Linked DNA regions of Mus musculus. The main gene of each other region encodes a partner of the protein of the gene in region 3 in a complex. Links are inferred from orthologs where the notes say so. Each region holds a gene or a part of one and is shown on either strand. Other genes may lie near its edges.

Region 1 (4,198 bases), on a different chromosome or scaffold from region 3:
AGTCAATCACTCCACCCTGATTTGGGGAAATATTGCACATTAATTTAAAGAACACATGGCAAATTCAAGATTTCTTGCTACTTAAACAACCTAAAAGTTGCTTGCTTCTAACTCTAACAAAACTATAGGAGACCATTATGATCCCAGAATATATTTCTACATTATAGTTTTTGGGAAATACAACAAAACTATTCTAGGCTAAAGGGTCATGCTGCATGCTGTGAATGTGTTTTAGGTCCCTGTATAATTTCAAAGATGGAAAAGCTGTCTTCTTTAAATGTTGCAGCAAGTGCTTAAGAACTACATCTAGAAATAAAAATGAAAATAATTGGATAACGTGCTACTTCACTTAGATGGAAAGTGGCGGAGCAAGAATCAATAATCTTTGCTTGCTGAATGTGAGATGACTATCCTGTACAGCTAAGGACTGACAAATTAATAACTTGGGGAAGGCACACCATGCAAGGCAAAGTTGATCATTTCAAATATGTGATTCCCATTTCAACCCACCTTAATTAAGATCTAAAAATCCAAGAGATAGCTAGCTCCCATAATTAAACAAAGCAAGGAGCAATGTGACAATGCTCAACGGTGAGCACTTAGCAAACCATCTCTATCCAATAAAGTCAGAACAAATTAAATAAAGACCAGAAACCACATAAATCAAATAAAGTCAAGCCAAATGAAATAAAGACCAGGAACCCTTTTCTGGTGATCACACTGAGTAGCCCAGAATCACACAAAGTTGATGAAGGGGAGGCACCAGTGTGGCCGCATGCAGGCAGGCGCCTGCTCACAATGGAGAGAGAAGCATGGAGCCTCTGAGCAGTAGCCATATGTAAAGTTCTATGTCTCCACATAATAGAAAGCTGTGCACGAAGGGGGAAAGTTCACGTGTCGTTCCAAACCAGGCAGAGCAAAACCAGTTCCTATTGCAAACTACTACTTGTCCAGATACAAGCAAAGTCAGACTTCAATGAATGGCGTGTGGGGCAGAGCAGTTAGGGAAAAGAGAGCCAGAGATGGAGAATGCATGAGGAAAAAAAAGTTTGGGGCACTGGGAAAAACTGAAATGGATTAATACCACAAAAAGCCCCACTCTTTCTATTTTACATTTCTTTCCCTCCCCTTCCTGAGTCTCAACCCAGACCTGCCCTTAAATACAGGAGACATGTATGTCCTGTACAAATGACCCCTTTGAGGAGAAAGGATATTTTTAAAAGCACCTTTTTATTTTTATCATAAATACAATGAGACCAGTCAGCACATGCGGCAGTAGACAGAGACTCCAATTCACAAAGTTTGGACTCCTAGTAGAAGCGTAAGCTATGCAGTGGTCTCCACATTTCAGAACTTGAAATAATTTGTTTGTTTGACTTAGCATAGTTAGAAGATCATAAGGAACCCAGTCTCAGTGTTTTTAGCCTCTGACTTATAACTCATAAAGGGTTATTTAGGTTGCCATGGGGGATACCCCAAATGTAAATGCTTTAAAAAGTTAAGAGTGGTTAAAAAAACAACAAGATGTGTAAAACATTTGTTGACATAATTTTCTTTAACGAAACGATAGTATAATGGGAGGAGAACTGTATGGATTTTGAGTAAAATGTTGGGTCCCACACTTTTTTCCCCCTTTGCGCTGGACAAAAGCTTAAGTACGTGTACCAACCACCTTAGCAGACAGACAAGGAGAAAGGTATGTGGAGTCATTACCTAGGCCCTCAGAACAGGATCCTGCAGTCCTTGGAACACTACCCACTGAGCTAGGTAGGGGAGCGTGATAGAAGTTTGCTTCTAAGTGGCACCAAAGGGGAAAAGAAGGCATCTTGCTCTTCTGTCTTTGCACACAGGAAGAACCAAATTCAATGCCTCCACCACTCCTGGTCTCGCTCCGCCCCAACCTCTGTGTGTGTACCGTGTGGGGGCACCTCTTGGGTGTTTTAGCCCACACATTCCAGGACGCCTCTATCTCATCGAGGTTAAGTTCTGGGACTCCCCCACGCTGAATCCTCAACTGTGCCACGATTAACAAGCCAACAAGTACAGGTGCCTAAGGTTCTGGCCTATTTTTATACGTGTACTCCCCCCCCCCCCACACACACACACACCAACACCAACTGAGTCTCTCCCCAGTCGCCTCAATCTCTCCAGTGCAAAACACCTTCTAGCCCGGACGCCAGGAAACACCTCGAGCTTTACTTCGGGGTCACCTGGTGAGAGATCCGGCCCTGCCTTCAGGTTTGCCCCGTGGCTGCCCTGGTCCCTGGTGCCTGGTGCCCAAAGCGGGGCTTCGGAGCAGTCACGTGGGCGGCACGGGAGGCCTGGGCTTCCTCACCTGCATCCCAGGCACTTGAACAGCCACCGGTGAGTGGGCCATGGTGGCGACTGCTACTTCGCGCTGCTTCTGCGGTGGTGGCGGTGGCGCCTCCGGCAGAGACTGGCTCCTCCTACGGAGGTATCTCTGCAGCTCTACCAGGCTTCTCGATCGAGGCCTGGAAGGACGCAGAGAAGTGGAGTTAGTGGGCTGGTGGCTTGCAGCCTCCACTCCCCCCATTCCGCCCCCCCCCCCCCTGCGGGGAGGTGAGCGGTTCGCGCCGCTGCTCTCCCGGACTCAGTTTACCTACCTCTCTGCCGCTCGCCTGCCTGGCTTTTGGCTAACTGCAGTGTTGCTCTCTTTCCTGAATGCAGGGCTTGACCTGTGGCGGTGCCTGGGACCTGGGCTCCAGTGATGCCGCTTTGCTGCGCCTCGCCGCTTTAGGAAGAGGAGGTGGAGGCACCCCAGCAACCCGCCCGAACGCTTAGGCTGGGAGGCGGCTGGGGGCGGTTCCCCGGTTGGCCCTGCCTCCACCCCGCTGCCGGGCGGTGTCAGGGGAGCTGAGGCTTCAGGCTGCAAAGGGGGTTGGCTAACATAGCCAGAGTTGGAGACGCTCGGGGCTCTCAGGGGTTGCGGAGAGCAGCAGAAAGGCGGGATCGGGATCGAAAAACTTGGAACATAACCGAGCCTGGAGAAAGAACAGAAGAGTTTGCGGGAGTGGGGTAGGGGAGATGAGGGCAACCCGGATGAATGCGGCCACGTTGCAGACAGGCTTGCGAGGCTGGGGTGCTTGTAGCCTCCCAGAGGTCTGGAGTTGCAAAAGTTTTGCTTGGCTCCCCCACCTGGCCAAGGGTGGGGCCACCGAGCCAGACACCTGCTCCTTCACGCCTAAGTTCCTTCCCTCTTGCAATTTTCAGCTTCCTTGCCCTTAGATATGCCTCAAGTCACTTTAACCTGAGTCTGTCCTTACCTTAGGCTATTAGTTGAGGAACGGCCTGGCTGAAATTGCTCACAATTTCTGCGCGTGTAAAAGAGAGGCAAATTGGAAAACGGATCATGTATTGGCAGAAAACTTAACAACGATAACAGAGGCAAGGAGCATGAGATTACATCTTTCCGAGTATAGATATTTGAATTTAGCATGCAGCACAGTGACTTCTGCAACTCTCTGCCTTCTTCTAATTTAAGTTCAACTCCAGGAGTGAGGCAGACCCTTTCTGGAGGACCCAATAACACAATAATGACAGTGATAATAATAGCAGTCACAGGAGTCTCAGGGAAGCACCTATGTGAACACCCGGGCTACTAAAGGTTACAGGACAAAATAAGATCCAAGTAAATGTGTAAAATGAGAACTCACCTTGAAGTTTGCCAGATGCCCGTGCAACCAATGCACACTCAACAAATGCTATTCTTTTTTAAATAATTTTTTTCTCCAAGAACAGTATCTGGTTATTATCAACATTAGTAGTAGTAGTAGATTTCGTTTTCATTGCCCCAGAGATCCCGAAATTTACCCTCTGTATATTGTAAAGAGTTATTGTGACAAGCGCTCACTTGAGTCACACTGCCTTCTCCCCACTGAGCAAATAGATCAAAAGGCTCAGCCAAGTAAATATTTGACTCAAATATTGCAATTAAAAAGCAATACATCTGAGAAGTCCAATCTGGGCCCCCCTGCCACATACTACCTTCTATTAATATGGTAGAAGTATATTAAATATGGTATTGATTTTACCTTACTCTTAGTGCTCCAAGCCTTGGCGTTCTCTCTATTCTACCCAATGGTAGGCCCTGATCTAATGTCTATTTCTCACCAGCTCAAGTCATTCTCTACAATAGCCTACCCAGAAACGTTCAGTGCCACCTACCTGTAATGTCCAC
Region 2 (4,156 bases), on a different chromosome or scaffold from region 3:
CCATGTGCTCTAACCACACTCATCAGTGTGGAGACCACCGATAAAGGTAGACGTGATCAGTGTGAAAAGACCTCAGCCTCTGTCACTTCATGTCTGGGCAGTGACCACTTGATCCCCTGCTCAAAGCCAGCCCTGAAAGCCAGGTGCAGAGCAAGGGCCACATAGCAGACCTTTTCCTGCCTGTTTTGTTGTTGTTGTTATTGTTCTGTTTTGTTTTTCTGCCTGTTTCTGCTCCAGCAGGCCCCAAAACACTTTTTCAAACCCTTCTTTCTCTAACCACTTGGCCTCTACTGTCTCCTCAGATGCTACAGCTCCACCATGTGTAGTTTTGAGACACCTTGAAAACCATCTCAAAGATCTCCAGAAGGTCTAGTTGAGGACTCAAGGCAATACAGTCTTATCACTGGTTCAGTCCAGTGCTTGTAGCCTAAGAAAGCCTGTTAGAGAGAAGTCAAGCCATCGGCTAACTACATGACCCAGGACCACTATCCTTCCAGTTCTCAGTAGCCCTTTTCCTACTACTCAGGCTCAGACACCACATCCTCCCACACTGCTCAGCCATACTGAGAATTCTTAATTGCTCTCTTCTGGGGGAACCTAGAATCAGAACTTGTCCACTACAGTAGCCGAAGAAGGATACTTCAGGCCAGGTATTCACTCACACTGCCTCAGAGGAAAAGAAAATAACAGATCCCAAAGCCAGAGTTCTAGACTTTGTGCAAGGAAGGTGGGAACCCTAGTCTTCAAAGTCTACGTTTTTTGGGTACCTATAGCTGTGAACCAGTCAGCCTAAGAAACAGTATGATAGGAGCCTTTCTGGCATGGTCTCTGTATTTACACCTTTGAAGCAGCCCTAGTCCCAAACCCAGCCAATCACAGACAGCTAGCATGCTGATCTGGGTGGCTCAGATTTCTCTTCTGGACAGAATGTGTTATGAACCATCACTCAAGCCATCTAACTTACTCTGAACAACTGAGACCCATTCGCTCTCCATTCCATCCTAGGGATATTATACTTACAGCCTCTGGCCTTTCTGCCAACATGCCTGCTGTGTATCACCTCTCCAAAACAAGAGGAACAACTCAGCACACATCCTCCCTCATCTACCACACACAGTCACACAGTGCTTGCCCAGAACCATCTGGTCCTTCCAGAGATGGGCAGGAACAGGCCGGGTAAAAGGTAATCTAAGGCAGAAGCACAGGCTACAGGGGGAAAGTACAAGCCTTATCACACAAAAGGAGCAATTTCATAGGACTCTATGGCAGCCATCTTGGGAGAAAGCAGCCCTACAAAGGTTTTGTGTCACTTTCAGAAGCCAAGTATGTCTAGGCTGGACACAGGCCCCTAAAAAGACAAAAAGGGTGTTTTCTCTTTGAGAAAGGTCCCCTAGCCATCATTACTGTACTCCTTCGCAATTCATAGCTCCAATTTGTCATCCTGGGACCTTCATAAGCTAAGCTTAAGTCTCTTAAAAATAAACTAGAGGCAGATTTTTTTTCTCTCTCTCTTAGTATGTTATATAATTAGAGGCGAAATGTCAAAATGTATTAAAAATGTGTTAGCTTAATTCAGCATCAGTTAGCAAGCTCGGGATCCCATCTGTGACAGCTGGGCCAAAAGCCCTCCCCAACAGCTGTGAGTAGTCTTCCAGGCTGGTTTGGTTTCCTCCAAGGAGCCCTGCCTCCAATTCCTGCCCACAAGCAGCGGACGGACATGCTTCCTGTCTACACAACCAGTTCTCAAGGATGCAGGGAGAAGGGGGGTCAGGGTGGGGTGGGGTGAGCGGCTGCACTGTCCTCAGGAACTGATTCCTTCACTGTGCAACTGTCAAGCCTAAGCCTATCTAAACCAAGCCCTTAAAACGCAAATCCCACAGCTAAAGCCAGAGGAAAATCAGCCGCCAAGGCAGCTCATTCCACTTCACTAGCTGTCTGTCATATTGCTCTGAAATAACAACACCACAAATAAAATAAAGGCGAGAAAGGGGGTCCAGAGAGCAAACCACCGAACCCTCTGACCCTACGCAGCCCTCATCTCCTGTGCGGTCCCGTGTCGGGGTTCCATCCCGTTAGCCAAGGAAGGTGGAGTCCATCTTCTGGGAAGGTGCTCCGAGCCTGGGTCAAGCAGGTTGTGCCCAGGGCAGGTTCCTGCACCTGCCCCCAGCAGCTCCCGAGCAGAAGCGCTCGCCCCGCAGACGTTCCCTGGGGCTCACGTCTTCCGCAGGCGCTGGCTCGGCACAGGCCAGAGTTCCAACGGCCCCAAGACGCGCCCCGAGGCAGACGGCCTCCGCCCCTCTCCCGCCTCAAGTGGACAAATCCGCTCCACAGCGAACCACGGACTCGGGGCACGCCGACGCCCACACTCACCTGGTGCGCGAAGCCCCGGAGGTGAGCCATGTCCCCGCTGACGTGACCAGTCCGTCGCAGCCGCTCCGCCCGCTCGCCTCAAGCACCTGCGAGAAACCGCAGGCCGCTCGGTCAACAGTGGCCAGGGGGACCCGTTCCGTGGCGTCCCTCCACCCGCGACCTCCGGTCCCGCGCCCAGGGCCCCCGACCCGCCCTCAGGGCGTGCCCGGCCTCCCCAACATTCAGGCGAGGCCCGCTGGCAGCGCCCACCTCCGGGCGGCTCCATCTCGGACTCCGGGCCCGCTTCGCAGTCCCCACGGCGGCTCACACCGCAATTCGGTCTCCCGGAACGCCCAGGCCTCCCAGCCCGTGAGGTGGAGGCAGCGGCTCTGAGCAGGGCGTCGTGGCGAGCGCGAAGCTCTGTGGGACTAGGAGTCCCGCAGCCCGCCCCGTACCCCGGGCACGCAAAATTGAGACTACAAGTCCCAGCAGGCTGCGCGGTAGGATGAGGTGTTACGCAAGTGCTCCGGGGCCCTGATGGCGACAGACTACAAGTCCCAGGAGAACTTGCGGTGGGCGGTCAGTGGAGAGGCACAAATGCGCCACAGATTGGATCCGAACCTTGAGATATGCCCGAGCTGGGCTGCCCCTCCTGTCAGGCCGCGCGGTGACGGGTGCAGCGCGTGCGCAGTTGCCTTGACGTTTTCTAGGCTTTTTTTTCTCTTTTTTTTTCAGCCCTCCTCTCATTTTCCCAGTTCTGTTTGCCAAGCTTCTGAGACCCATACTGTGTGCCTGGAGTGCGAACCCACATTACCCTCATATCCTGGTGCTCCAGCTTTAACCGCAGTGTGACCTTCTTGTCTGCGCTTAGCAACACACACACACAAGGAGTACGCCCACGCGCGCCCTTAGAAAAGTCGCCCATTGTTGGACAAGTGCTTCTCTCCTGCCTCAGTTTCCCTATCTGAAAAGGTTTAATCGTAGGTCCCCAGGACATGACCTGGCGCTGGGAAGAGTTGTGTGGTCCAGCGGGGATTTCCAAAGGTTGGAAGATGCCTTTCATCCTGTGAATTCAGTATGAGTGACTAGTCAGCAATGTCCACTTCTATGCAGTCTCCTAGTGTTCCACGGGAGGGAGATTTGGCTCCATACTGTGTCCATTCCTATGACGGCTCAGTGCAAACCACCATAATGTCCCTACTCCCCAACTCATAAAGGCTTGTTGTTTCTGTTCTCTGGTGGATTTTCTTCCTGGGCACCATCCTGGAACCTTAAACCTTGCATGCAAGACCTTGCATCAGATTCTTTAACCGCCAAATTTTACTACATGTTGATTAGGTTTTCTTTGCTGTGTTTTTCCCCAGAAGAAAATAGACTTCCAGCAAACAGCCCTGCCCTGGATCCTGAAGCACCTTGGTTTCCTCCCCTCCCCCGCCCCAAGGCATCAACAATAGGGGCAAATATTTTTATTGCCCCTGAAAAAGATCATCTGTAGGATGGCCTTCAGCCTACCTATCCCTCCTATAGAAAAGTCTGAAATTAGGCAAGGCCAACTCTATTAAGACTTATTTATGTACATATATGTGTATGTTAAATGTGAACAGGAACCTACTGAGATCTGAAAAGGCCTGGATCTGGAGTTGCAGAGGGTCATATGCTGAATGGCATGGGTGCTAGAACTAAATTCTGGTCCTCTGGAAGAGCAACAAGAATTCTTAATGATTGAGGAATCTCTGTAGGCCTTTATTTTTGATTTTTAAGACAGGACCTCATTCTGTAGCCTAGGCTGGCTTAAAACTCTCTATGT
Region 3 (4,709 bases):
ACCATTGCTCTCCGTGACATACCTGTTCAATAATAAACACAAAACTTCTATCTACGTTGTGCAGTAACTGACCACTCCATATAGTACTGAATATCTGGGAGTCTCACTTCTTTCTGAGCTGTGGACTATATACAGCTAAGGATAAAATGAGCACTGAAACCCTCAGCCACCCTGCCCCATCTCAATTTTCAGTGAGAACTGAGAGAGAAAGCAGAAATGGAACAGATTGGCCTGCCTCCCACACACAGGAGAGAGTGCAATGAGAATCTGTTAGGGATAGGTGATTCCTGAGAACACGCCATCTTGGAAGCCTTGTACTGGGAAGAGAGAAGCATCAAGATCAAAAGGCTAAGCCCAGCCCTGACTAATGTACTTGCAAGACCAGAGGGTACAGTTCAGCACAGAGCACCTTCCTAGTAGGTGCTAGATCCTGGGCTTAATTCTCAGCATGCAGCTGGGTGGGTGAGTGAGATGGAGAGTGGGGTCAGGGAAAACCTTCTAACTGATAATGACCCCTGACATGACATAATATGCCCACAAGCCATAACTCTATTCCTTATTAATGGGCACTAATGGACACTTCCATACACTACTGAGCTTCTAGGCTAGAGACAGAGTTTAGTGGTAAAATGATTACCTACCATGTGTAGAGTCCTGGGTTCAAGTCCCAGTCCCATTAAAACACAACTAAAATCAACATTTGTATACATTACTGAGGTTGAGTTTCATTTACCCAATGGGAATGACAAAACTCTGCTTCAAACTTAGCTTAAGACCTTTTTTTTTTTTTTGACAGTTTCATTCCCATTATATAATATATTGTGGTCTTATTCACCCCCAAATCCATTACCATTTCTTAGCCCCCCCCCCCCAGTGTATTTTTATAGAGACAAGGTTTTACTATGCAGCCCAGGCTGGCCTTGAACTCTGATTCTCCTTGCTCAGCTTCCGGAGTGTTGTGACTGGAAGCATGCTCGACTGCCTTGGCTAGTTTTGAGGACTAATAAAGTTTACCTGGCACATACTGAGCCTCCTTGTGCTCTAGGCACTGATCAGATCCCCAAACTACTGACTTCAGCTGTCACCAGAAGGGTGTGCAGCATCAGCACCTCCAACACAAGGACACAGATCGATGTGATGGGCCTTCCAGATGTTGAATCCAGTGAAATTAAAGGTAGGAAGAGAAATAAAAACATGTAATAGAGGCTGAGGACATACCTCAGCAGTATAGTGTTTGCCTACCTTGCACAAGGCCCTGAATCTGATTCTCAGCACCACATAATAACACGAATAAGGGGTGGTGCACACCTTTAATCCTAGCACTCAAGAGGCAGATGAATCTCTGTTGAGTTTGAGGCCAGCCCCATCTGCAGAGCAGAGTTCTAGGACAGCTAAAGCTACACAGAGAAACCCTGTCTCAAAAACAAAAACAAAACAAAAAACAAAGAAGCAAACAAACAACAAATAAAATAAAATGCACAAAAGGGTATTTATCTGACTATTTTGTGGCTTTTCAGGAAAATTTAAAACTACTTTACCTGCTGAGCTATCCCGCCATCCCTAAAGCACTTATTTTAAATGTATTATGTGTTTATCTGTGTGTGTATACATGTGCCCATGGAGGACAAAAGGACAGTACTGGATCCCTAGGAGCTAGTGTGCTAATAGGCAGTTGTGAGCGGCCCAACTTGGGTGCTGGGATCCTCTGAGAGAACAGCAAGTTCTCTTAACCACTGAACCATCTCTCCAGTCCACTCAAACATTTAAAAAGAGAAATTTGAAGGTGTAGTTCAATTCTCAGGGTTCTCTTCAGAAAACCTGGACAAGTCTGGTCATTAAAGGTCTTACAAACTTAACTTCCATACTCCTTCGTACTTAAGAGATCACTGAGAAGTAGCCACTGATCACCCATCATTCCACAACAAAAGGCTCCTAAAAGGTCCATCTTTTTCAAAAAAGCCACTCTAAACTCATCCTCTCAACTCTGGGCTTGTTCCTTTGTGACATAAGTTATCAGAATTTGAGCCTGCGACAACAACAAAATGTTTGGAGGGAACTGATTTCTTAGGCTTAAAGACACTATCTTTAGTATCTGGTACTAGCTGAAGCATCAAATTTGAATTTGAGGAATTCCCTCTCGGTAAGTGCCTGGCTGTTCATCACACTGGAAGTTGTCTCAGGTGGAGGAGATTGCGTAGTAAGCGCTCTGGGAATGAATGTGCTGATGAGGAAGCCCTGAAATGCTGCGACGAGACGGGTGTGTGTTCATTCATGAATTCTGCAAACGGAAGCAGTGGGAGGAATTTTAACTTGGGGCGAGGTGAATAGCTCCAGACAGCGCGGGCAAAGGGAATCGCAGCTCACTAGCAAGGAGGAGAATCCGGCGCCCTTTGTGTACTTCTGATCCCTTCACAGCTCAGCAACTGGGCTCACTGGGCATGCAAAAATACTTGGCAATGTCTGGCCGCGGTTTGATCCAGCGCTGACTAAAATTCGGAGGGAAGCCACAATGTGCTCTCTCTGCTACTCACACAACCTGGGGCCGGCCAAGCAGCACTAGAGAGAGAAGCCCTGTTCTAAGCGCCCGCTAAACTCTCCTGGGTCCCTTCGCTGCCAACTGGCGTGGCCCACCACCCTGCTAAGATCAGAGGCCGGAAAGGATGAGGGGCTAACCAGCCAGCAGACCACCGATTTTGCACCCCAGGAGGGCTGTGCCTCAGGCCACGCCCCCGGGGGCGACCGGCCATCCCCGGCTCGGGGACCTTCTTCCCCCGGCCGCAGCAGAGTTGGTGACAGGGCTCCGGGCTTTCCTCCCCGGGGCTGTGGCGGCTGCCAGCCTAGCTAACTGCACGGTTCCCGGTAAAGTGACAGCTCCCAGGGTCCCTGTCAAGCCGTCGGGAAGCCCGGCTGGGCCCGGATGCCGCCCCGGTCTCCCGGGACCCCCTCTGTCACCCGCCCGGTGCCAGCCTCGCCCCCCTGCAGCTCTGACCTCCGAGTCTTTGCGCTGGTTGCGGTTGAACTCGCGGGCTTTGCCCCCCGGCAGGAGGCCTCCGGCGGCCCTCGGCGCCCCAGGAGGAGGCTGCGCGGTGGCAGGCGGCGGAGGAGGTGGCGGCTGCGGCTGCTTGTTGTTCACAATCAGAGGGCCGGGACCGGCGGCTGCCGGCTCCATCTTGGCTGCTCCACACCCCCGGCTCAATTCGCGGACGGCCTCCCGTCAGGCAACTCTCGCGTGATTTCCTCCAGGAAATTTCCCCAATCGCCATATTCAGTGTGGCTGCGTGTGTCGAAAGCCGCAACTGCCAATCACCTCCCAAGGTCTTTCCTGGCTTTGTCATTTAGTTTCCCCTCCCTCCTTCCCGTGGAACTAAGCCGGAGACGTGCGGCTGGGCTCGCAGGAATCCCTTTAGATGTCTTTTTTATCCATGAGACTTAACACTTTAATTCGTTGTCTATCATCGCTTTGCCTGTCTTTAGAGCCCTCCCTGTTCAAGGTGAGGCAGGATGAAAGGGGAAATTAGGGAGACATCATTAAAGAAAGCAATTCCTGACTCATGGGTCTAGTTGACACGTTTTCCTAGCAAAGAATTTCTGTACAATTAACAACTGGTTGTGGCTTTTCTCTAACCTTCCAGCTGAAAAACCTCCAAGTCAGTAGGACTCTGTAAGAAACACCTTGTGCAACCCTGGGGACTCCTGGTTTTACTTATCAGATTATAACTCCATCCAAGACACCTCTGGAGCCACGTTAATAATCTCACTTATCAAAACAGGGGAAAAAGCCGGGCGTTGGTGGCGCACGCCTTTAATCCCAGCACTTGGGAGTCAGAGGCAGGCAGATTTCTGAGTTCGAGGCCAGCCTGGTTTACAAAGTGAGTTCCGGGACAGCCAGGACTATACAGAGAAACCCTGTCTTGAACTTGAAGTGAAGAGAGACAGAGAGAGAGAGAGACAGAGAAAGAGAGAGAGAGAGAGAGAGAGAGAGAGAGAGAGAGAGAGAGAGAGAGAGAGAGAGAGACTCTTGGGGGCTAAGGATAACAGTATGAAGTTGTATCTGTCCTCAAGCCACTGACAAATACTTTTAAGGATATAATAATGAACAAAAATAGGATTCTAGTCTTCGTGGAGTTTACATTCACATGGGGGAGATAAACAAATGAATAAATAAAACTGAAATTGAAAATATAACAGAGAAATCATGGGGAAATGAGGGTGTGTTTAATAATCCCTTAGAAGTGGCTCTTGCTTTTCTGCCTTCATTTTGTAGCTGTCTCGTTTACTCTGAATTACCTGCTCACATCTGTATTGACTCAAAGAGCAATCATCCAAAAATGGTGGCCTCTCACCTCATTCTCCGTCACGTCTGAGTGCCAAACACATAGGAGTAACCAAGATGGTTTTAATGTTACTTTTTACAGTGTCCTCCTCCAGAAACCTCCCTCCCCAAGAAGCAGGTACAAGACTCTTGGTCACTGGCCTCAACCCTCTAGACATCAGGAGTGGCAAAGCCTCACAGAACACAGCATCCCCGGATGACGAACAGCTCTTTCTATCATGGCCTGTGCACCCTGGAGGAGAAAGAATCAACTCCTGAGAACCAGCTTGTCCCTTAAGTAAAAAGGACTTCTACCATCTCATAGAACCAACACTGAGAGGATGATAACCAGACCACACTTGCCCAGGTCTGCTGGAATTTTCCTATCTCCCGCCCT

The links.
Region 1: Strip1 (region 3) and Stk26 share a complex: the UniProt entries of both Homo sapiens proteins name them as parts of the core of STRIPAK complex. The link is inferred for Mus musculus from reciprocal best matches to the Homo sapiens genes STRIP1 and STK26.
Region 2: Strip1 (region 3) and Stk25 share a complex: the UniProt entries of both Homo sapiens proteins name them as parts of the core of STRIPAK complex. The link is inferred for Mus musculus from reciprocal best matches to the Homo sapiens genes STRIP1 and STK25.

What each region holds. Positions count from the first base shown.
Region 1 is NC_000086.7:50,839,973-50,844,170, reverse strand, and holds the start of Stk26 (serine/threonine-protein kinase 26), read right to left. Parts: upstream 2,801-4,198; 5' UTR 2,625-2,800; intron 2,493-2,624; 5' UTR 2,378-2,492; coding exon 2,336-2,377; intron 1-2,335. UniProt on the Homo sapiens protein: Serine/threonine-protein kinase that acts as a mediator of cell growth. Modulates apoptosis. In association with STK24 negatively regulates Golgi reorientation in polarized cell migration upon RHO activation.
Region 2 is NC_000067.6:93,632,928-93,637,083, forward strand, and holds the start of Stk25 (serine/threonine-protein kinase 25), read right to left. Parts: upstream 2,801-4,156; 5' UTR 2,620-2,800; intron 2,457-2,619; 5' UTR 2,401-2,456; coding exon 2,371-2,400; intron 1-2,370. UniProt on the Homo sapiens protein: Oxidant stress-activated serine/threonine kinase that may play a role in the response to environmental stress.
Region 3 is NC_000069.6:107,628,512-107,633,220, forward strand, and holds the start of Strip1 (striatin-interacting protein 1), read right to left. Parts: upstream 3,200-4,709; 5' UTR 3,170-3,199; coding exon 2,990-3,169; intron 1-2,989. UniProt on the Homo sapiens protein: Plays a role in the regulation of cell morphology and cytoskeletal organization. Required in the cortical actin filament dynamics and cell shape. Part of the striatin-interacting phosphatase and kinase (STRIPAK) complexes.